Caenorhabditis elegans: one gene and its partners. The protein of the gene in region 2 purifies or fractionates together with the protein of the main gene of each other region. This does not show direct contact. Each region holds a gene or a part of one and is shown on either strand. Other genes may lie near its edges.

What was found. The genes of interacting proteins can lie anywhere in the genome.
Region 1: the proteins of pgm-1 (region 2) and dhs-21 fractionate together in Caenorhabditis elegans (co-fractionation; one large-scale study listed by BioGRID). This does not show direct contact.
Region 3: the proteins of pgm-1 (region 2) and Y49E10.18 fractionate together in Caenorhabditis elegans (co-fractionation; one large-scale study listed by BioGRID). This does not show direct contact.

Annotation. Positions count from the first base shown.
Region 1 is NC_003283.11:12,729,345-12,735,718, reverse strand, and holds dhs-21 (L-xylulose reductase), read left to right. Parts: upstream 1-2,073; 5' UTR 2,074-2,157; coding exon 2,158-2,215; intron 2,216-3,048; coding exon 3,049-3,158; intron 3,159-3,209; coding exon 3,210-3,510; intron 3,511-3,555; coding exon 3,556-3,674; intron 3,675-3,719; coding exon 3,720-3,887; 3' UTR 3,888-3,952; downstream 3,953-6,374. Other genes in the region: xbx-9 (XK-related protein), read right to left, coding at 1-293, 348-504, 766-913, 1,000-1,466; zfyv-19 (FYVE-type domain-containing protein), read right to left, coding at 3,996-4,285, 4,382-4,470, 4,851-5,119, 5,515-5,667, 5,714-5,890, 5,948-6,094, 6,139-6,198. UniProt on the Caenorhabditis elegans protein: Catalyzes the NADPH-dependent reduction of L-xylulose, D-xylulose, L-(+) erythrulose, D-erythrose, D-threose, L-ribulose, 1,4-dibromo-2,3-butanedione and 2,3-heptanedione.
Region 2 is NC_003280.10:4,885,948-4,893,958, forward strand, and holds pgm-1 (phosphoglucomutase (alpha-D-glucose-1,6-bisphosphate-dependent)), read left to right. Parts: upstream 1-3,489; 5' UTR 3,490-3,495; coding exon 3,496-3,741; intron 3,742-3,794; coding exon 3,795-4,075; intron 4,076-4,122; coding exon 4,123-5,008; intron 5,009-5,059; coding exon 5,060-5,353; 3' UTR 5,354-5,480; downstream 5,481-8,011. Other genes in the region: R05F9.7 (Serpentine Receptor, class E (Epsilon)), read left to right, coding at 329-665, 1,187-1,399, 1,649-1,710, 1,759-2,106, 2,151-2,264; gst-9 (putative glutathione S-transferase 9), read left to right, coding at 5,641-5,773, 7,051-7,538; msp-33 (Major sperm protein 33), read right to left, coding at 6,364-6,747.
Region 3 is NC_003281.10:12,440,208-12,448,076, forward strand, and holds Y49E10.18 (Fungal lipase-type domain-containing protein), read right to left. Parts: upstream 5,900-7,869; 5' UTR 5,895-5,899; coding exon 5,797-5,894; intron 5,494-5,796; coding exon 5,439-5,493; intron 5,184-5,438; coding exon 5,062-5,183; intron 4,787-5,061; coding exon 4,607-4,786; intron 3,775-4,606; coding exon 3,385-3,774; intron 2,630-3,384; coding exon 2,467-2,629; 3' UTR 2,423-2,466; downstream 1-2,422. Other genes in the region: ani-1 (Anillin-like protein 1), read right to left, coding at 6,468-6,728, 6,780-7,151.

The sequences.
Region 1 (6,374 bases), on a different chromosome or scaffold from region 2:
TGGACTCTTTTTCTCTCCGGTATCCATTAGCAATGGTTGATTTTGGGTTGCGATGAAGACCTTGTTCTGTGTGGCGGTTGGATTTCCAGTTGGGTGATGTTGACGACGAATCCATTGATCAATGGCAAATCTTGATGAAACGGTTAGGAAGAAGGCAACTAGCATGAACAGGCTCATGAACAAACGAACAGTGTCAAATGTCAGAAGTTGAATTGCCAGTGCAGTGTAGTATACAGTTTTTTCATCGTCCGAGTTCCAAAGGTATGGCGCGAAAAGTTCGGCGATTTTCACATCTGAAAAGAATACGATAAAACCAATTAAAATTCAATTCAGTTGCAAAAACTTACAAAACTCAAACCATTGAGGAATATTCATTACAATTACAGCAGCTGCTCCAAAACCAAGACGGCTACGTGCATCATCGACAACTGGATCACCAGTCAGAACTGCCATGTTTGTTCCGGCTGCTGGTTTTGGTTTGCACATTAATCCAACACACAAGCACTGGAAAACATTTTTGATTTTCTATATTTAAATTTCATTTGAAGGTGGAATTGTTGAATTACTGTCAATAGATATGTGTAGGGGTGTAGAAGTAAAGTGCAAAACAATTACACTGAAAACGATCTTTAAATAGGATCACACCACTTGTTGGCTTCGGTTAAATTTTCTACTATTCTTTGGATTTTTTCACACTTTGTTTAATACCTCACTAATGTATAACTGGGCACTGATGTCCACCTTTAGAGATCAAAAATAGATTACCACTAGAAGCTCGGCAATGATTCCCACTGTGCACAAAAGGTAGGTAAAAAACAGTGCAGAAGCAGGAAGTGGGTTCCATTGGGATGCGATGAAATGATATGAACCAGAGAGTATAGCAGCAAAGAAGAGCACAGCAAAGTAAGATGTCCTGGAAAATATCGGAGGCATCAACTATTCATTTAACAAAAAATGTTATTCAAGATTTTTGCTGTGTCATTCTAACCATTTTCTTACCATGAATCACAAGGATTAAAGTTTTGTCTTTTCCTTGCAATTACAATCAACGCCGAGAGAAAAATCACAGATCCAATGGATGTAGTGAGGACTGCTGTAGTGTAAAACCAGTTGAAGAACATCAGAAAAACCATGTACCACCATCCATAAGCTCCAAGCATGATACTGTAGATAGCCAGTGCAATCTTGAACAGAGATGACAGTCCAAGTGGAATGTAGACAATAGTCAGAAAGACCTTCGTGATATCACGCTTCATTTTCAAAGAAAGCAGAAAGAAAACTGCGATGATTGAAACTTCAATTGCGGAGAGTCCAGCTCCAATTGGTCCTCCGTAAAATGCTTTCTTTGTGTAGAGTTCATCAGGAAAATCACAGCTTATCTTCACTTTTTTCTTCACAGTTGTTGAATTACAAAAAAGAGTGGTAAGTAAAGGAAGACCCGGGACTGGGTCCATGTCCGTCGACATGGTTACACGATCTTTATATCACTTCAATAGTTGGGATTTTATTGAAGCTGAGATTGAGAATAAGAAATGTGGCGAGTTGAGTGGCTAGATTGAACAGGTGAAATGCCATGTTGCTATGGTTACTCGTCACGAAGTTTCAGCTGTTCTTGGACGCAGATCTTGTGATATTGAAATTGGTTGTTGATGTAAAAAAAATTAAGACGGAGACACTAACGAAGCTAGCCAAAACAAACTTTTTACGGAAGGTTGAGCTTAATGTTAAGTGGGACATATACGTTTGATGGTACCTGAAACTACCAGGAAAGTATGATATTTTGCAAGTCTTTGAACTTTTGGGATCATTTTTGCTCTTGAACTCATCCTCTAATATATATCATAAGCAGCAAAAACAAAGTACTCGATTTTGCTGCTTATGATATACTATTTTTTGAAACGAGCGTTTTAAAGAAAATTGTGTACATTGTTTCGGTGCTCAATAGTTTCATTGTTACATACTTTGCAAAATGAAAGGGTTTTCCCTGTCGATCTCGAAATAGAAACCATTATGACGATCATCAATACACAATTGGACGCAGATTGTTAGAGGAATGGCATTGATAACAAAAATAGTCACAATATAAAAGTTGATCGTGTTGGGTAGAATGGGGTAGATACTACACATTTTCTGATATTCATATCATCTGACGAAACAATGCCCGCCAATTACGATTTCACTGACAAACGTATACTTGTCACAGGAGCAAGTCAAGGTAAGTCTTGAGATGTTGAAAAAGTTAAGATGGGTTGTTTCAATACAAACCAAATACACTTGTTTTGGGTTCCATTTAACAAATATGAAATTGAGATAGCTCACTACAGGAAATAGACTTGATATTTAGACAGAAAGTTATGTTGAGATAAGTTTTTGTACCACTCGGAGTTGGTGCCAACTTATTGCCCAACTTTTGACCTATAGTTGAAAACTTCACGGAAAACGTCAAATCTCTTTTCCGACGATTGTTCTATGTTTTGAGTTTAGATATGTTTGCAAGGTTTGAATTGAAGTTGACCAGGTTTTCCCTGGTCTAGTATAAGTTTATTTGTAGTTTGAAGTAAGGAAATGTTAAAAATTATCTGCTCAATTAAAAAAAACCATTAAACATTTGGAGCCACTGAATCAGTTTTCTGAAATCTCATGAAGATTTGTACTTTTTAAGTTTTCAAAATGTTTAATCCATATTAATTTAACATTTCAAATTTAGGCCAATGTGATAAAAGACCGATGGTCTCTCTGATTACTTCCGGTGTAATTATGATCTAGTTCAAATGGAGAGGAAAACGTTGATATACGATAATATGATAACACTATAATCTTTAATCAAAAATTTGTTGTATCATCAACATTTTATCATTCCGTTTGAAAATTATAATTATTTTACGATTATGTTTGAGGAAATTTCTGGCATTGAAAACAAGAGTACATCCTTCCTAGTCGGTAAAAAATATATTACGCGAACAAAGCTAAAAATAGAATAAAAATCGTTCATGAAGACTTCCGATGGGGTGATTGTGAATCATACATCACAATTTATCACATTTGCAGGAATTGGAAAAGAAATCTGCCTTTCGTTGGCCAAAGCTGGAGCGCAGGTTATTGCATTCGCGAGAAATGAAGCAAATTTGTTGAGTCTTGTCAAAGAGACTACTTCTTTGGTAAGTGAAAATATAAAATATTACACCAATCTGATTAAATTAATATTTCAGAGATATACAATAATTCCAATTGTTGGAGATGTGAGTGCCAATGAAGAGGTCCTTTTCAAACTTATCGTACCACATTTCCCAATTCATGGTCTTGTAAATAATGCTGGAATTGCAACAAATCATGCAATTGGACAAATTACTCAACAATCAATTGATAGAACATTTGCAGTCAACGTAAGGGGACCTATTCTCATTGCACAATTAGTTGCTAGAAACTTTGTGGATAGACAAATCAAAGGATCAATTGTTAATATTTCATCACAAGCAGCCATTCGTCCATTGGATAATCACACTGTTTATTGTTAGTTTAAAACTTTACTGAAATAATGTACATCTGAAAGTTCAGGTGCATCAAAAGCTGCTCTTGATATGGTCACAAGATGTCTTGCAAATGAATTGGGATCCCAGAATATTCGAGTTAATAGTGTCAATCCAACTGTTGTGATGACTGATATGGGAAGAGATGTAATAATTTTCAAATTGAAAAGAGAGCATAATTAGACTTTTTAGAACTGGAGTGATCCTGATAAGAAGAAGAAGATGCTCGACAGAATGCCGATCAAACGTTTTGCTGAGGTTGACGAAGTTGTGAATGCTGTCCTTTTCCTTCTTTCAGACAATGCTTCAATGACTACTGGATCCACTTTGCCTGTCGATGGAGGATTTTCGAATAACTAAAGTTTTTAATTTTAAGATTGAGACGATGTATATAGGTGAACAATAAATACATTTATTTACAAGAAGCTCGTAATTTAACATACATAGAAAAAAGATAAATAATATTTACTATTGTTTTGAATCTTTTCTGAACAACTTTTCAAATAATCCCTTTTTCTTCGGTGAGCTCGAGTTGCTCGGTGTTGACGCCTTGTTTGATTCCGAAGTTTGAGGAGGCAGATCTTCTGAATTTTCGGCTTCGTGAAGAATCTTTTTGAAAGTCTCTTCGTCTAAGGACTTCTCGTCTTCATCTTCATCTTCATCTACAGATAATTTTTCGTTTCTTCGATCCCAAAATCCACCAATTTCTTTCGTGATCTTATCATTCCATTGAATAGCGTCAAGAGACTTCTGACGAGCTGAAATTGTAGCAAAATTAAGAAATTAAGCTGGCAGTAAAAAGGTTTGTAAAAGACTGTGTTGAAGAAATATTCAAATTTTCGTTTTAAACTTACTAGATTTCATGAGAGTTCTGAGTTCAGCGGCATCATGTTCTTCTTGCTTCTTGGTTTCAGCTACACGTTGTTCTGCGTCTTGAAGAATACTGGAATACTATTGAATATGCGTAAAACTTTAAAAGTCTACAGCAGGGTTAGTACTTTTTTGGGGTTTGTTTATTTTTGTAATATTTCGACGAAAATTTGTTTTTTTTTTTGGTTTTTGTGACAAAACACCAAAAAACTAATTTTCTATATTTTAAACACTTTTCATATTTTACAAATGTTCTTTAGCAAACTGTGGTTTTCAGTTTTTGTAAAAAGTTCCAATTTTCGAATCCAAAAAAAATTTTGTTTGATTTTTTTTGGTTCGAATTTTTCGGTCCCAGTTCTACAGCTTGCTGACTGAATTTTATTGAAAAGTATTGTAATTCTCAAAAAAAACTGTATTTCAGTTTAATTTCAAATAAAAAATTCACCAACTCACTTATTAATCTCATTCATTTCTTCTTTCGTTGCTTCACTAAACTCTGTGTTTGCAGAAACCATTGATTCTCGTATTGAAGCATCATCTTCTCTATTTTTTTCTTTTTCATCTTCAAATATTTTCCTACGTCTTGCTTCAAGCTCATCCCAGTCTTTATGTTCCATTTCCTCTTCTTTTTTTTCAATTCTTGCACGATCTTCAGCTACTCGCATTAATTCAGATGGATTATTGGCGTTCATCGCAGGTTCCTTGGAAGAAGACTTTAGCCACTGAAATGTTAAAAATGGTATTTAGGCGTAAAAAATCAACTTCTGAGGTGGACGGCAATTATTTTCGGAAACTCTACAAAACGACCTACTGGCCAATGTTTTTCTAAAATCTTACAATAAAAATTAGTGTCAAAATATAGAAAACTATTTTGTTTGAAAGAAAATAACATGTATTTCAGTTGAAACGCTTGAGAAAATTCACGAAAACGGTCTGAAAGTTGTTAATTGCCGAAAACAGAGCTCTTTAATTTGATTATCTGCAATTTGTAACTTTAAGGTCATTTTAAACACTTTTTTTTAAATTTTCAACTGAAAAAATTATATTTTCAGATGAATCAAGTAATTTTCTATATTTAAGACACATTTTTAATTAAAAACATCCTTGTCCAACTTACACTTTGAGGATTACGTATCACTTCTACATCACATTCTCGAAGTTTTGCTAATCGTTCTTCAATTTCTGATATACTGAGTGGTTCAATTTGTGGTGAAATATCTTCTCGCAGTTTAAGTCTTCGCTGTTCCAGGTCATTGGTCGGATAATTTGGCTGAAAACTGAAAAATAAATTAAGAAAATTCCGTGACGCTAATTACCTTGGTCTGCTGCGATGGAATTTCTGGCGAATTCCTGAATTTAGTTGCTTTGACTTCACTATTTTTAATCTGATTTTGATTTGTGTGCGAATTCCTGAATGATGGCGGTGGAAGTCCATCACCCCACCAATTTTTATTCGATTTATTCGAATTATCTGGTAGAGGCGTTGATGTTATCTGAAAAAAATCGTGGGATTAATATCTATTTAGTTTTTACTTTGTTCTTTTTCTTACAGTCGCGCTGGGCTTCATTTTGGCAGATTCCAATTTTTGATAGCAATTGTTACAGACAATCATTGGTAAATCCGAAAGTGTGGGAATAATTGCACGATGAGGCAGACATTTCTTACAGAAGGAGAGAGCACAATTCGAGCAGCCGGCCTGAAAAAATAGAAATTAATTAGTTTTTGATGCCAGAAAATAACTTCTCTGTTTAATAATGAATATTTAGTTCTGCAGTTTGTGCAACAAATTGAGGAAGGCATTCTAGAGAAGAATTTCGGCATTTCGCAATGATACAAAATGAAGAGAATAAGGAAATGACGGTGAAATAACCGGTTTGAAGGTAAAAATGATAAAGTAGACAATTGAATTTTTCTAGTTCATTCTCCAACAATAAATTCACAACAAAACAAATCTGCCTAGATAAAAAACTAAAAGA
Region 2 (8,011 bases):
AAAAATTACTGATATTCTAATGAATACATTTTGATTTTATATGTTCTATTTGTATTGACCAACACTGCAACTAATGTGCTAACACTTCCTGTTCTCTGAGTTTTTTTTTCATAACTCACGCCTCCATGTCACCGCTGTTTTGGCGAACATTCTTTAAAATTCGATTACAAGTGATCATTCGTTTCTATAGATATTCACATCAAACTTTATAATCTAAAAGCGTTTTCTGAACCCGATCAATTACTCCACCTGCATATATAATTTCATGCTTACTCTTACTACTCCTTATTTTTAGAAAACATTTTCCTTATTTTGAGTTAAAGATAAAATGCACATTATCCAGGAATTTCTTGCCAAAATTCTCTCACTACTTGCTGAGCCAATTCCATTGGTGGAGGGCCAATGGCTCAATATCACATTTGATGTGCCAATTTTAGTGGATATAAATGCTCCATTGACGCCAACACTACAGTTTATTTATGCATCTGAAAGTATTTTGATTTGTGTTGGAATGTTTCTAATGGTTTATTTCAATTATTTTGTGAAAAGTTTCCAAATTGTACATTTGAATTTACAATATCTATTTTTGCTCTTCACGACTTTATATATTTTTGGAAGTCTGGCCAGATTCTACATGATTTTGGTTCAATTAAAGTTTGTCACAGGTTTGTAAAAAAACTTTCGTCTCATATGCTTTCTGGTAAGATTTAACTTGTTCTGAAAGAGGTTTACACTTATTTGACTGAAAAACGACAAGATAAACATTGGCAAATCACACATTTTCTGAAAAATCTGAAATTTCCAAAATTTATAATAGTTACATTTTAAAATGGAATTTTGAAAACACGACTCATATCATTGGTGTTAGCGATGTATGTTGAACATTCTTCAAGTCATGTTGTATGGAGCTGCCATAACATGTTCCAAATGAATGAGCTGGTGGAAGTTGGGTAACATTTTCACAAAATAATAAAATCAAAAGTTGAAAAAATATGTGTATACTTGTGGGGATTGTAAATGTGACTGAAATTGTAGATTTTTCAGATTTTCTTTGCACGCAAATTTAAAATTCAATCAGAAATTCAGTCGTTCCAGTAATTTTTAAATGGTAAAAATTGTCCAACGCCATATATGTTTTTTTTTCAAATTTTAAACTTATATGACTCGGTAGCTCAATATTTTTCAGATCTCGACACGCCGTATCTCCTCGTAGCGGGAATATTGAGAATGGAACATTATGGAGTTAGTTTAAGTGCAATTTTAGTAGTAACTATTGAACGAGCATTTGCAACTTATTATGTGGTCGATTATGAAACGAAGCACAGATGTTGGGTTGCTGCATTTTGTGCTTTGGTCAGCCTAACCTATACTCAATGTTTTGTGATTCCCATTTGTTTCTGTAAGTTTTATTCTCTTACAGTTTTTGTGCCTACGTGCCTGCCTGCGTCCTTGGAAAAACTTGGAAAAAAACACAAGAAAATTTGCAGAACACACAACTTTCCAAAAGGGGTTTTTTGGGATTTTCTATTTTCAAAAAAGCAGCAAAATAACCTAATTTTAAAAACAAAAAAGGGGTAGGTATAGGCACTGGCAGGCATATACTCTTTTCACAATTCACATTCTTAACATCAAAAATAGTTATTTTCAGTTGAAGCTTCTTTGTTGTATATTATTCTATTCGCATCACTATGGGCAGTTTTCTCAAACATTGTAAGAAGCACAATGCCCATTTTTCAAAATAATTTCTTCATTTTTTAGGTTTTAATGTGCCTTTACTATTATAATGTACAAGAATCCAAGAGATTATCATGGAAAGCTGAGAATCTTCGGAAAATGAAAAATGTAAATTATACATTGAGCAAGAAGTTTCAAGTTGAAGAAAATGTGAAAATTATTAAATATCTGCAAGTTATGAGCTCCATGTTGGTTTTTCTCATATTTTTTGTTATTATATTTATTGTAGTTCCTAGAGTATATCTGGGTTCAAAAACATATTCGGGTCAAGTTATGATTTCACTTTTTGATATTAATTTGGCACTTGGTGCAATTCTAATTCCTTCCGTTTGCGTTTTACATTTACGGAAAACTAGAGATATGCCATTTTCTGTAGGTTTTTATCAATTTTTCAGATTTTCATTATATATTTTCAGGGGAAAATCCATTGTTTGAATAAGAGACGCGATGACCGTCAGGTGAACCCGATTACTGTATTTGAAGACGTTACAAAATCATATTTCGATCAATTTCAAACATCTTGGCGATGATTCATATGATTTTTGGAAATATTACTTTGAAGTTTTGTTATAAAATGTTACATTAGAAACATTTGTGTTTTTTAAACATGTTTTATTCTTCAGTGATTCTTCCAGCACAAAACAAAAACAGCACAAAGTCCGTTGTTTTATTTTTAGTGAGAGCGTCACTTTGTTTTTATAAATAATTTAGATTCTTTTATTCATATAATTTTTGGGTAAAAAACTGTTTTTGGTTTTTTGAAAAATTTCATTAAAGTGAAACATTAACCACGGTAGAATTAAAGGCGCAGCATGAATAAGTTTTCGTGTGCTCCGCAACGATTTTAACTACCTTAACCTACAATCGGAATTCGTTTAAAAAACAAAAAGCGAGTCATTTTGTTTCAATAAAAAGTTGAGTTTTTCTTAAATACTTATCAATATTTTCTCCAAATTTCATTCGGTTACTATCAAAAAAAAGTTTTTTATTAATTACGGTCGGTTTAAAGGCACAGAAGGAAAAAAGTGTTTGTCAGTATCGCAGCGATTTTAATTACCGCATACCATTATTGAAATTTTGTTTGAAAAAAACAAATTACTCGAAATGCGCGCGCGGTATTCACCATTTGTATCGTTCTTTTTCCCGAAATTTCGTTGTTTTTGTGTTCGACACAATATATTCAATAGTTTGTAGCGATGAAAACCTTGATAAGCAATAGGGGGCGTCTCGAATTTTCGAAAGAGAGTATAAAGAAGATAAATTTTTTTTCGCTCATTGATTTCTTTTCATTTTTCTTTATCTTTTTTGATGAACAGCAGCAGTTGTTCCATTTCTACACGTATTTTGTTGCTCTCTATTTCTCTGAACTCTCTGTTTGTGTGGGTGCTCTCCTTTGGCGCCAACAACTGCAGCTGGCATTTCTTTTCTTTTTTCGCTGCGAAATCTGAACTATTCCTGCCCACCCACCAGAAGATAAATAAATTCTTCGTGTTCTTAACATGTCTGTCTACCTGGACTTTAAAAACCCCATTTAAAAGTTGCATTTGAGGTCAAAAGTTATCCCAGAAGAGTTCGAGCACATTTTAGGTCGGCCCATTTCTAAAGTTATTCATTTTTCTATGTTTACTATCACTGAACATTGACCAACCACTTGACTTTCGTGATAAGATACGAAGCGATCATTTTCTGTTTACTATTTTCTCTTTTCTCATAGTCAGTCCATTTTATTTTCTGATCTATAATATTTATTTTCAGCCTAAAATGGGAATCGCCGTCGTTGAAACCCCCACAAAACCATTCGCAGGACAGAAACCCGGAACATCTGGTCTTCGCAAACGGGTTCCGGAATTCCAGCAGCAGAATTACACGGAAAACTTTGTTCAAGCAATTTTGGATGCTGGTCTTGGATCGAAAAAGAAGGGTTCTCAGTTGGTTGTTGGTGGAGATGGACGGTTTCTTTCGATGGAAGCCACAAATGTGATTATTAAAATTGCAGCAGCCAATGGGGTAAGAAATATTGAGAAATTTTAGTAATTTTTTTATAAATTTGAGTTTTTCAGCTTTCCCGTCTTATCGTCGGTCAAAACGGTTTCTTGTCGACGCCAGCTCTCTCGAATCTTATCAGAAAAGGACACGAAGGTCGTGTTGTTGATGGAGGAATAATTCTCACTGCTAGTCACAATCCAGGAGGTCCAAAGGGAGATTTTGGAATCAAATTCAACTGCGAAAATGGTGGACCTGCTCCAGATCAAGTCACTGATGCCATTTATCAGATCACAACTAAAATCGATAAATACTTGATTGCCAAGGATTTAGAATGCGATTTTACACAAGTTGGAAGGTAAACACATCAATATTTTGATTACATTGATGTACATTAATTTTCAGATATGAATATGATATTGAGGGAGTTGGTCACTTTGTCGTTGACGTCATTGATTCAGTTACCGAATACATCAACCTCATGCAGAAAATCTTTGATTTCCCAAAAATCAAATCCCTTCTCGCTGGTGAACTTACTGGACGCAAACTCAGAGTTTTACTTGATTCGATGCACGGAGCAACTGGACCATACATCTCTACAATTCTTGTCGATCATCTTGGAGCTGATCCTTCTGATCTTTTGAGAACTGTTCCAAAGCCAGATTTCGGTGGAGGTCATCCAGATCCAAATCTCACCTACGCAAAAACTCTTGTTGAACGCCTCCACACCGGAGAACACGATTTAGGAGCTGCATTTGATGGAGATGGTGATCGTAATATGATTCTTGGAAAGAATGGCTTCTTCGTTTGCCCCAGTGATTCTTTAGCTGTTATTGCTGATAACATTGATTATATTCCATATTTCAAGACTCGTAAGGTTGCTGGTTTTGCTCGTTCAATGCCAACTGCTGGAGCTGTTGATTTGGTTGCCAAGGCAAAGGGACTTCAAGTGTATGAGACACCGACCGGTTGGAAGTACTTTGGAAATCTTATGGATGCTGGAAGAATTGCTATTTGTGGAGAAGAATCATTCGGAACTGGATCTGATCACATTCGTGAGAAGGATGGCGTTTGGGCACTTCTTGCATGGCTTCAAATTCTCGCAGACCGAAAAGAATCCGTCGAGGAAATTGTGACGAAGCATTGGCAGAAATATGGAAGAAATGTGTTCACTCGTTACGACTATGAGAATGTGGATGCAGCTGGTGCCAACTTGTTGATGACTTTCCTTGAAGCTCAATTGCCAGCATTTGTTGGAAGAGATTTCTCGGCAAATGGGGTTACATATAAGGTGAGAGAAAGTTCGAAAAGATTTATTTTTTCTAAAAAATACTATTTCCAGGTTGCTGTCGCTGACAATTTCCAATATACTGATCCAGTGGATGGTTCAGTTGCAACCAAACAAGGACTCCGAATTGTCTTCGAAGATGGATCTCGATTGGTATTCCGACTCTCTGGAACAGGATCTGCCGGTGCTACCATCCGTCTCTACGTTGATTCGTACATTCCTTCAAATGACACTTCTCGCCTTCTACTTCCAGCTCACGAATTGCTCAAACCATTGGTGTTGATTGCACTTGATACTTGCAAAATGGAGCAGTTCACTAATCGCAAGGCTCCAACTGTTATCACATAATTTTAGTATTTAAAAATGATTTATATATTGCATGAGTTTAGCTAAATAATTATGTGTAGATTTTCCTCGGTTTATATAATTTTATGTTGCACGTAAACGAAAAGTTGAATGAAAATTTGAAAACTTATGAGAATATTGTGAAATACATCAATGTTGGTTTTTGGAAAAAAAAGTTGATGTTTGTGGTTTTCTGATGTCGATTTAGTGAGAAATGAGAAACGCAGACACTGAGAGCGAAGGGTTCAAAAGCGCCAGATTGTGACGAATTCTTCATTTTATTCTGAAAAATGGTTTCCTATAAACTAATTTATTTTCAATCTCGTGGAAATGGAGAAATCGCTCGTCAAGTTTTCGCTTTTGCCGGCCAAGAATTTATTGATGAGCGTATTTCTAAAGAGCAGTGGGCAGAAATTAAAAATAGTAAGTTCAAAAGTTGCATTTTAGAATGAAATCCTCAGTTTAAAAAGTTGATTAATTACAATGTAGCGAAATGCTTCAGTTTTTAAGTGGTATCCCGCCACGAACAAAATATCCTCACATAAAGATTAAGGTGTGCCTTTAAGCAGTACAGTAACCCATTTTACAATTTTATTCGATTTTTCCACATTATTAAATAAATTCAATTCGATTTTCTACTGAAAAAAATCGAAAATATAACAATTCAAATATATATTTATTATTGGGGATTTTGGCAGATACTGCAGAAATTTAAAAAACTTTGCAATGCAAAAAAAAAATCAAAAATTCCAGGCTTCTTTTGGAATCATTTTGGCAGAACCTGCAGAAATATTAAAGTTCGGTTTTTTTAAAGAGATGATCGAAGAAACATTGTAGTGTCGAGCCAGCTGATCTAGAGGAAAATGCTCAAACGAGGAGTGGAAAGGAAGCTCTTTTTTCGAGCATGACAATATTATCTCGTTTGAAAATCTCTGAAAATATGTTCAAGTAAAAAAAAACAAAAAACGAGCTATCAATGAAAGTTTATTGAAGTTTTGGAAAGTTCACAAATCCTATGGGTTGTACTCGATTGGGAGGTTCTTACGACGAACCATACCGTCTCCTTGGAACCATTCCCGACGGAATTGCTTAGCAGCACCATCCGGAGTGTTGGTCCACTCAACAGTGATACGATCGTTGTTAGTGTCCTCCTGTCCAAAGGCGAAGGCATCGCAGGAAACTGCCAGAAAAACAGCTTCCTTTGGGTCCAGAACTCCACATGGTGGATCAACTCCAAGTCTCTTCATATTGGTGGTCTTGATACCGTATCCAATACGGCGAGCAGATGAGTTGATCACCTTGATGTGGTAGGTGTGCTTGTCGTCGTACGGGGCATTGAACACGATCTTCGTACCCGGCTGGGTCTGGATATCTCCTGGTGGGACGGATTGGGCCATGGCGACTTCTTTGTAGAGTGAGAAAACTCACAGTGAAGATTATGACAAAACCTTCTCTATTTATGCAAATCCTTATCACTGTCCTAGATCTTTACGTCACATAATGTTCGAAAAGTTGAATGAACTTTTGAAAATTCGTGAAACTTTTATTCAAATCTTCAAAAGAATATCGAAAAATAGGAGATCACTTGAAAATTTTTTTTTATTCAACAATTTCAAAAATTATCAAAAATCATTCTTTAAACGAACAAAAAATCCTGTGCTCAGAAACATAAATATTTCTTATCTTAATATAATTTTCAGTGACCCCATTTGGACAAGTTCCAGTTCTAGAAGTTGATGGAAGACAACTGGCACAATCGATTACAATTGTTCGGTATCTATCAAAACAATTTGGAATTTCTGGAAAATCATCATGGGAAGAAGCTCAAGTTGATGCTCTCGGTGACCAATTCAAGGATTATCGTGTTGAAGCACGGCCATTCTTTAGGGCCAAAATGGGATTTTCCGATGGAGATGTAGATCAACTTTACAAAGATTTATTCGTTCCGGCTTTCAATAAAATGTACTCAATTTTCACTGAATCTTTGAAATCCAGTGGAAGTGGTTTCCTTGTTGGAGATTCTTTAACTTGGATGGATTTGGCCATTGCTCAACATTCAGCTGATCTCTTGGAAGCAGATGGAAAAATTCTTGATACATTCTTGGAGATGAAAGATCATCAGAAGAAAATTCATAGTATTCCAAATGTTAAAAAATGGATTGAAAAAAGACCAGTTACATCTAGATAAATTATAGAACTATTTATTTTAGTGTTCATTTTTATCTACCTCGTAAAATATACCAAGCTATCAAACAATAAATAAACCATTATATAATAGCAACATCTTTGATTTGAAACTACACGGTCTGAAAAGTTATTTCATTGATTTATGTACAATTAAAACGGATAGGAAATCAATAGGTAATCGTGCCTAAATCATGCCTATTTCTGTGGTCTCATTTTTGAGCAGTAGGCACATAACTCTTGGGAAACGATGAGAGATCTGATCTGACTATATAGTGGGAACTTCTCTCTTCTAACCTTGTGAGTGGGTTACTATAGTCAACATCAAAATTTCAGAGATTCAGAGACACAAAGATTGACTGAAGTAGAAAAATTTCTGAGGAACTCTAAGATTGACAACCATTACTGTCAGAACAGAGTATATATCATAACAATCTCTAATAGCAACAAAACTAAAAACATTTTGTTAAAACGAAA
Region 3 (7,869 bases), on a different chromosome or scaffold from region 2:
GCAGTGCTCCAATATGACGGACTGTGCCGTGGTGTTGAGTAAAGGATTTGTGGAATTGATTATAAACGAAGCCTGGGTGAATTATCGAGAGTGGATCGACGAATCTTTTCAAGCCGGATGCCGTTTGAAGTACGAAGATCGAGAAATCATTCTACCGAACAAAACACCACTGGAGGTTGCTATGAAGGATTTATCAACGTTTATGCATGGTCGAGAGTTGAGCCTGGATAGTTTTATGGTGACCACCTGGGAAGAAGACATGGATTTATACGATCCTCTCATCTCTCTCCTTCATCAAATTGGAAGTGTTCCAGCCAAATATGTGATTATCGAAGGAGCAACTTCCGAGAAGACAGCCCAAATCCTCCAACATTTTGAGGCTGGAGTTTTGAAAAAGTTGCGAATCAGAGCTGATGTGGCCGATGCAGCTTCCATCCAACCTCTGGTGGCGCTCGATCAATGGAAATCAGTGGACAAACTTCATTTGACCTGTCACGCCAAACAATTCCAGTTCTTCGTCAAGCATCTCAAGCATCTCAAGGCAATGAAAGTCGACTTTTTTGGACACAATTTATCGAAGGGAGATATGATGAAATTTCGCGATGTAAGTTTCTTTAGAGTTTTCAATTGACCTATTCAAGTTTTCAGGAAGTTATCGTGAAATCGAGCCGTTTCAAAGTCTACAAGTTCAAGCGAGTTCACTACAGTTCGAAAGAGTTGCTGCAAGTGCTATGTCCGATGGAGTCTCCAATCGATTCATTTGGCAAGATCGACATTGAAACCGACAACGCTACATTTTCCATCGAGTTCGACGACGATTGGTTCCAGATCAAGAAATCTCTGGAATGATCTTTTGACTTGAACCTGTGATTTGTGAATGAAGGATTAGAACTCGAATTCTCTCAAATTTGAATATTCGTTTTTCCGTCAATAAAAAAACATGGGAAAGAATTGTAATGAGAAGTGGTTCATGTACGAATTCGGGGCTCAACCAGGTTATGCTTTGTGTTCGGCAGGGCGCATTTACACTGATTTGATTTTCAGCTAGAAGTTTCAACTTTCTGAAATTTAATTTCTGACAATTTACCAATTTGCCGGAAATTTCAATTCTGACAATTTGCCAATTTGCCGGAAATTTCAATTCCGGCAATTTGCCGATTTGCCGGAAAATTTCAATTCCGGCGATTTGCCGACTTGCCGAAAATTTAAATTAATTTAGAAAGTTGAACAAAATTCAAGTCCGGCAATTTGCCGATTTGCCGGAAATTTCCATTAATTTAGAAAGTTCAAAAAAATTCATGTCCGGCAATTTACCAATTTACCGGAAATTTCAAATCCGGCAATTTGCCAATTCTCCGCATATTTCAATTCCTGCAATTTGCCAATTTGCCGGAAATTTCAATTCCGGCAATTTGCCGATTTGCCGGAAATTTTCAATTCCGGCGATTTGCCGACTTGCCGAAAATTTAAATTAATTTAGAAAGTTGAACAAAATTCAAGTCCGGCAATTTGCCGATTTGCCGGAAATTTCCATTAATTTAGAAAGTTCAAGAAAATTCATGTCCGGCAATTTACCAATTTACCGGAAATTTCAAATCCGGCAATTTGCCAATTCTCCGCATATTTCAATTCCTGCAATTTGCCAATTTGCCGGAAATTTCAATTCCGGCAATTTGCCGATTTGCCGGAAATTCAAATTCCGGCAATTTGCCGATTTGCCGGAAAATTTCAATTCCGGCAATTTTCCAATTTGCCGGACTTTTCAATTTCAGCAGTTCGCCAATTTGCCGAAAGTTTTAATTCCGGCAAATTTCCGATTTACCGGACTTTTCAATTCCGGCAATTTGCCGATTTGCCGGAAATTTCAATGCCGGTAATTTTTCGATTTGCCGAAAGTTTTAATTCCGGCAATTTTCCGATTTGCCGAAAGTTTTAATTCCGGCAATTTTCCAATTTGCCGGACTTTTCAATTTCAGCAGTTCGCCAATTTGCCGAAAAATTTCAATGCCGGTAATTTTTCGATTTGCCGAAAGTTTTAATTCCGGCAATTTTCCGATTTGCCGAAAGTTTTAATTCCGGCAATTTTCCAATTTGCCGGACTTTTCAATTTCAGCAGTTCGCCAATTTGCCGAAAAATTTCAATTCCGGCAATTTGCCAATTTGCCGAAAAATTTCAATTCCGGCAATTTTCCAATTTGCCGGACTTTTCAATTTCAGCAGTTCGCCAATTCTCCGCATTTTTCAATTCCTGCAATTTGCCAATTTGCCGGAAATTTCAATTCCGACAATTTGCCGACTTGCCGGAAATTTTCATTAATTTAGAAAGTTCAAGAAAATTCAATTCCGGCAATTTGCCGATTTGCCGGAAAATTTCAATTCCGGCAATTTGCCTATACGAAAAACTGATAAATTGAACAGGAAACCCAATAAAAACTAATTTATAAATACATTTCATTCAGTTCATAATTACATTTTCGGGCAACCCTGTGATCCCCAATCAGGCATATTAATATCAAAATAGGTTAAGTGATCCGGTGGATAAGAGTCCAATTGTCGATTACTACAGTAGAGGCCATCTGCTTCCGCACAAATAAGATATGGGTCTGTGCTTGACATGTTGTTGTTGTACCTGAAAATATAAATTTTGCAATGTTTGTCTTACGGTATTGGGTCTCAACACGACCTTTTTTTTCTTTTTTTTTTTCTTCGATTTCACCAAAAATAGCCTTAAATTTGGCTTTTTTTAAATGAATTTTTGGTACTTTTTAAAAAAATTTATGGCTTTTTCGATATTATCTTTTTATTTTTTAATTTAAATTGTTTTTTAAAACTCAATTTCGACATAGAAAGCATCAAAATCAACAAAAAAAATTCTTGAAGAGTTTGAAAATACGGCAATATCTAACGAGACCCAAATTATGGGAGCTGGGCGCTTTAAATCGGCGTTGGAGCGCAATTGCACTTCAAACTCAAATTTTGCGTTTCCACATGTTAAAACAACAGGGAAATTGGAGCTACAGTACTCCTTAAAGGCGCACATAATTTTGCATATTAAAAAAAATCGGTCGTTTCGAGATCTGTGAATAAGGAGTAGCACCAGTAGAAACATGTTAAAAACTACTCCTATGGTGCAAAAATAACCAATTTTTCTGGCTTCCCTCATAAATTGTAATGGAAGAGTTTGTCGAACTAGGCCATTTCGGATTGGCCATACCTTGGGTAGATTTACGGCGCGTTGCGTGTCGCGTGGCGGCTTGTAAAACTAAATGTATTTGTCCGTGTGGAGTACACGACTTTCCCACGCGTTGTCCAGCTTGTCAATGGAGCGCGAAAAATGCAGTGAGGAAGGCCGGAACTTCGTGAATTTGAAGAAAAAAAACTAACCAAACTTCTGTTCTGTGATGGAAAAGCTCATCCTTTCCATATTGCGGAGGAATGTGTGGAACAATATCCCTATGATGAACAATTCGGAATGAATACGGAAAAGTCTTATCATGCCAAACAGCATAATCATAATCGCCGGTTCGCGGTTGTCCCATCGTAACAAGTTTCACTTGATCACCAGTATAAAGTCCTGAATGGACAACATAAGAAGCTGCAATCGATGCAATTGCTCCACCAAGTGAGTGCCCAGTAACCCATAATTCATACTCTGGATATTGGTATTTTAGTCGACGAATTTCTTGTTGAAGACCTCCATTCCAGAGGAAAAAGAATGCATCGTAGAAGTAGGTGAAAATGTGTCCGGCATCATTGAAAAATGGCTTTTTACCCCTGCAAAACTTCAACAAATTCACAAAGGGAAAAACACGATTTTTTAAAATTTTAGCTAAATTCTAAATTCCCCGACCAATCAGCATCTTTGAACTCTGCCCACTTGCTCTGATTGGTCCGAATGTGGGCGGAGCAAATCGCTGATTGGTTTTTTTTATTGATTTTAAGATTTTTTTTTGGTTTTTTTTACAGAATTTTTTTTTGTATGAAAAATGTTTGAAAAATTTTAATATGAAAAAATTTATGAAAAAACCGATTTTTCATATTTTTTTTCTATAAAACTCAGAAAATTTCAAAGAAACGGACGAAAATCTACGAAAAATCGATAAAAATTTTGAAATTTTGAACTACGGTACTTTTTAAAGGCGCACACATTTTAGCATTTTACAAAAAATTGTCGCGTCGAGACCGTGTATTGGGTTTTGGCGCAAAAATCTTAAAAACAGCTGGATTTAACCATTTTTACTCGAAATTTTAAAATTTTTCGACAAATTCTGAAAATGCGTATTGCACAACATATTTGACGCGCAAAATATCTCGTACCGAAAACTACAGTAATCCTTTAAATGAGTACTGTAGCGCATGTGTCGATTTACGGGCACAAAAGAATTAAAATCATTTATTTATCGATTGAATATTAAAATTAGGCAAAAAGTGAGAAAATAATACGAAGAAACGAATGAGAATGGCACTTCGCTGTAAATCGAAACAAGCGCTACAGTAGTCATTTAAAGGATTACTGTAGTTTTCTTTTCGCTACGAGATATTTTGCGCGTCAAATATGTTGTGCAATACGCAGAATTCCGTGTTCCCGTAATAAATTCAATCTCACGTAAAAAAGTCCAAAATCTCTTCAGTCAACTGTGTGGCTCCTTGAGTTCCCCGAAACGACATGACAACGACTTTTTGTGTTGTATCGAATGATGTGAAACCGAAACAATCGGTTTGTGGCCCAACTTCTGAGCAATTTACACTAAAAGTTTTGGATAGTGTCATTGTTGGCATTGAGTTTCTGGAAAAAAAACGCCGTTGGTAGTGTTTAAAAAAATGTTATTTTTTCAAAACACGGATTTCTGGCTTCCCTCATAAATTGAAATGGAAGAGTTTGCCGAACTAGGCTCGGCCATATCTGGGGTAGATTTACGGCGCGTTGCGTGTCGCGTCGCGTCGCGTTTCTAGTTGTAAAACTGAATCTATTGGTCCATATGGAGTTCGGCTGGTGATTGTCAACGGAGCGCGAAAAATTCAATGAGTAAGGCCAGAACCCCGTGTCAAAATTTTTCTCACTTGAAACATTTCTGTGGATTATTATTGAATGCGGCAGCAGTTGTCAATAAAATTTTTGTTCTCACAAATGTATCATCATACGCGTGTGCTTTATCAGGTAGTTCCGGGCAGTTTAGTGCTTTCTGGAAACGTTTATATTTGTAGAGTTTACAAAAAATCAGTTTATCAAATCGTGATTGATAAGATAACTTGTCCCATTACGATTTGTTATACAAAAAATGCGGGGTTTTTCGCCCAAAAAAATGTGACGTCAGCACGTTCTTAACAATGCGAAATCAGTTGAAAACTCTGCGTCTCTTCTCCCGCACTTTTCGGAGATCAAATCAAAATGGGGCTTTCTGGCACCACGTGAAATTGTGATTGATAAGATAACTTACAGAAATTGATGTTAAACATGGGGAGAATCCGCATTCGTTAACTGTTACACACCAGCTGAAATTCGAAAAAATTGTTACATGCCGGGCAAGCCATTTTGTGCCTACACCTTCTTACAAATTTGCCTCACTTTTCCGCTTATGTTTTATGCTATTATGGTGGGCAAAAAAAAAAGAATTATTTAAAATTGAGGTTCAAGCGCGCTCCACGGGCAAAACTTGGGTCTCGGTAGGTATTTGAATCTATTGAATCATTCGAATACCACTTAAAAATTGAAATTCCCGGTTTTGTCTCCAAAGACCTAACGAGACCCAACTTTTGGCGGTGGAGCGCATTTGCATTTCGATTTTAAACACTCACTGTTTCCCCGAAGCAATACAATCGGAGCACTTGCTTGACTCCACAAGCTGAGCGCCTAAAATCGTGAAGAATATCGAAAAATAGACTAGAAAATGCATCGATTCCTAAAGAAATAGGAAAACTGATAAGAAACCCGAATTTTATATAAATTCCGCTGGGCGGCGCACATGTGAAAGCTTATCAGTTGAAAGGAGCAAAAAATTGAGCACAGTTTAACATTTTTCGCAAAAAAAGTTGAACTTTTTATCTGTAATTACATGGCATATCTAGTTCGATTTAAAGTTATTTTTAACTTGAATATTTCCTTTTCTTTCCGTCTTCTTCATTCTATTCGGAACCACTGTTTTCTCACACTTTCACCAAATGTTTATTTTAACAAAAAAAAAACCGAAAATTAATTGTAAGAGTGTACGATGGTGAGGGGCACTGTGAAACTAAAATTTTCGAATAAATCGAAAAAGGCCCAAAAAGAGTGGAATAATGATAATGGGACAGTGATGTATTGATTAAAAAAGAAGGGAGTAAATTCTAGAAAAGAAGGAAGCTAAACATGGAGAGAGAGAGAGAAGTAACGAGAATAATAATAAAACATTTGATTATTTGTCAAAAAAAATCTGAGGGGAAAAACTGGGGGATACATACAGGCACAAAGCTTGCAAAAAAGGGGGGGACTACTGATTAACAATCGGATTTCTCCACGTGCACAACTGCTTCGACGTAGAATTGATCAGTGACAGCCATGTTTGAAGATCTTGAGCTGTATCGGCCGCCAGCATAACTCGAAGACGCTCAATGCCACGTGGATCCGATGTATCCATTTTTGGAGCCCAAACATCAATGTGGAAGCTATTCGGGAATGGGCAAATGTCTTCAACTACCGATGCACCTTCGGAACGGCAACACGTTGAAAGATCCATTAGTGCAGTGTAACCCTACAATAAAAAAAGTTTAATTTTAGACAAAAAAAATAAAAATTTAAAAACCTTAGTTCCCTCATCTTCTGGCTGCTTCCAAAACTTCATCTCTCCATTCTCAAGAGCACACCAGTATCTCGTCCACGATCCGAGCCCCTCGCCAGTTCTCTGATACATTGACAAGAATCCGTGATAAGTGATATCAGCTCCATCGATCGCCTGTTTGCGTACTTTCATCTGTGTAATACCTTCGAGCGGATATACAGTATGTGACATGTTGTACAAATGTTTTCCAGGGCAATTGATGTCGAACGAGAATGTTCCGAGCAAATTGAAGTTGGATGTGGTCGACGAAGTTGATGATGACGATGCTGCTGGATCGACGAATAGGCTCTGGTTTGCTGATGAAGTTGATCCGCCGCCCAGGAATGTGTTACGAGTCTAGAAATATTACTTATTTCCAGGTTCTATTGATATACACGTCTAATTAAAGGCGCACGGGTTTATTCAGAAGGGTCTCGGAGCGCATGATAACCTCATTTATTTTCCATTTTGCAATCAAATTGCTTGCGAGTATGTAGCGAAAAATTCGCTTAAAACAACGGCGCGCCGAGACCCATATGAATAAATCTGTGCGGCTTTAAGAACACGGCCCGAGAAGTGGTACCTGTACGCAATTTGTCTACCGTATACCTGGACGTTTGGGCGCGTGTATCTCAAAAACAGTTGTCCAGTTTTTTTGTGATGCATATAAAAAATGCCCGATATTAAATTCTACATTTTTTGGACCAAAGCTTTTTTCGTTATCACGCGCCCAAACCTGGTCTACACTCAAATTATCAGTAGAGCGCATTTGCATGGATGTACCACTTGCCGGAACGTGAAGAAGATGAAGTTATGATACATTATTAACAGAAAACAGAAGAACAAGACATTTGACAATAACAAACAAACAAACAAACAGACATACATCATGCAATCTTCTCCACAATCTACAGGGTAGGGGCACTCTCTTCTTCTCCTCACTTGCTAAGTTTTCAGCAGCTGTCATTCTCGATTCATGCTCACACTCATCAACAACATCATAACAACACCATTTGTCGATATTCTATAGCAGCAGACATTTCGAATTTTCAACGGACGAGTATGTAAAATATGA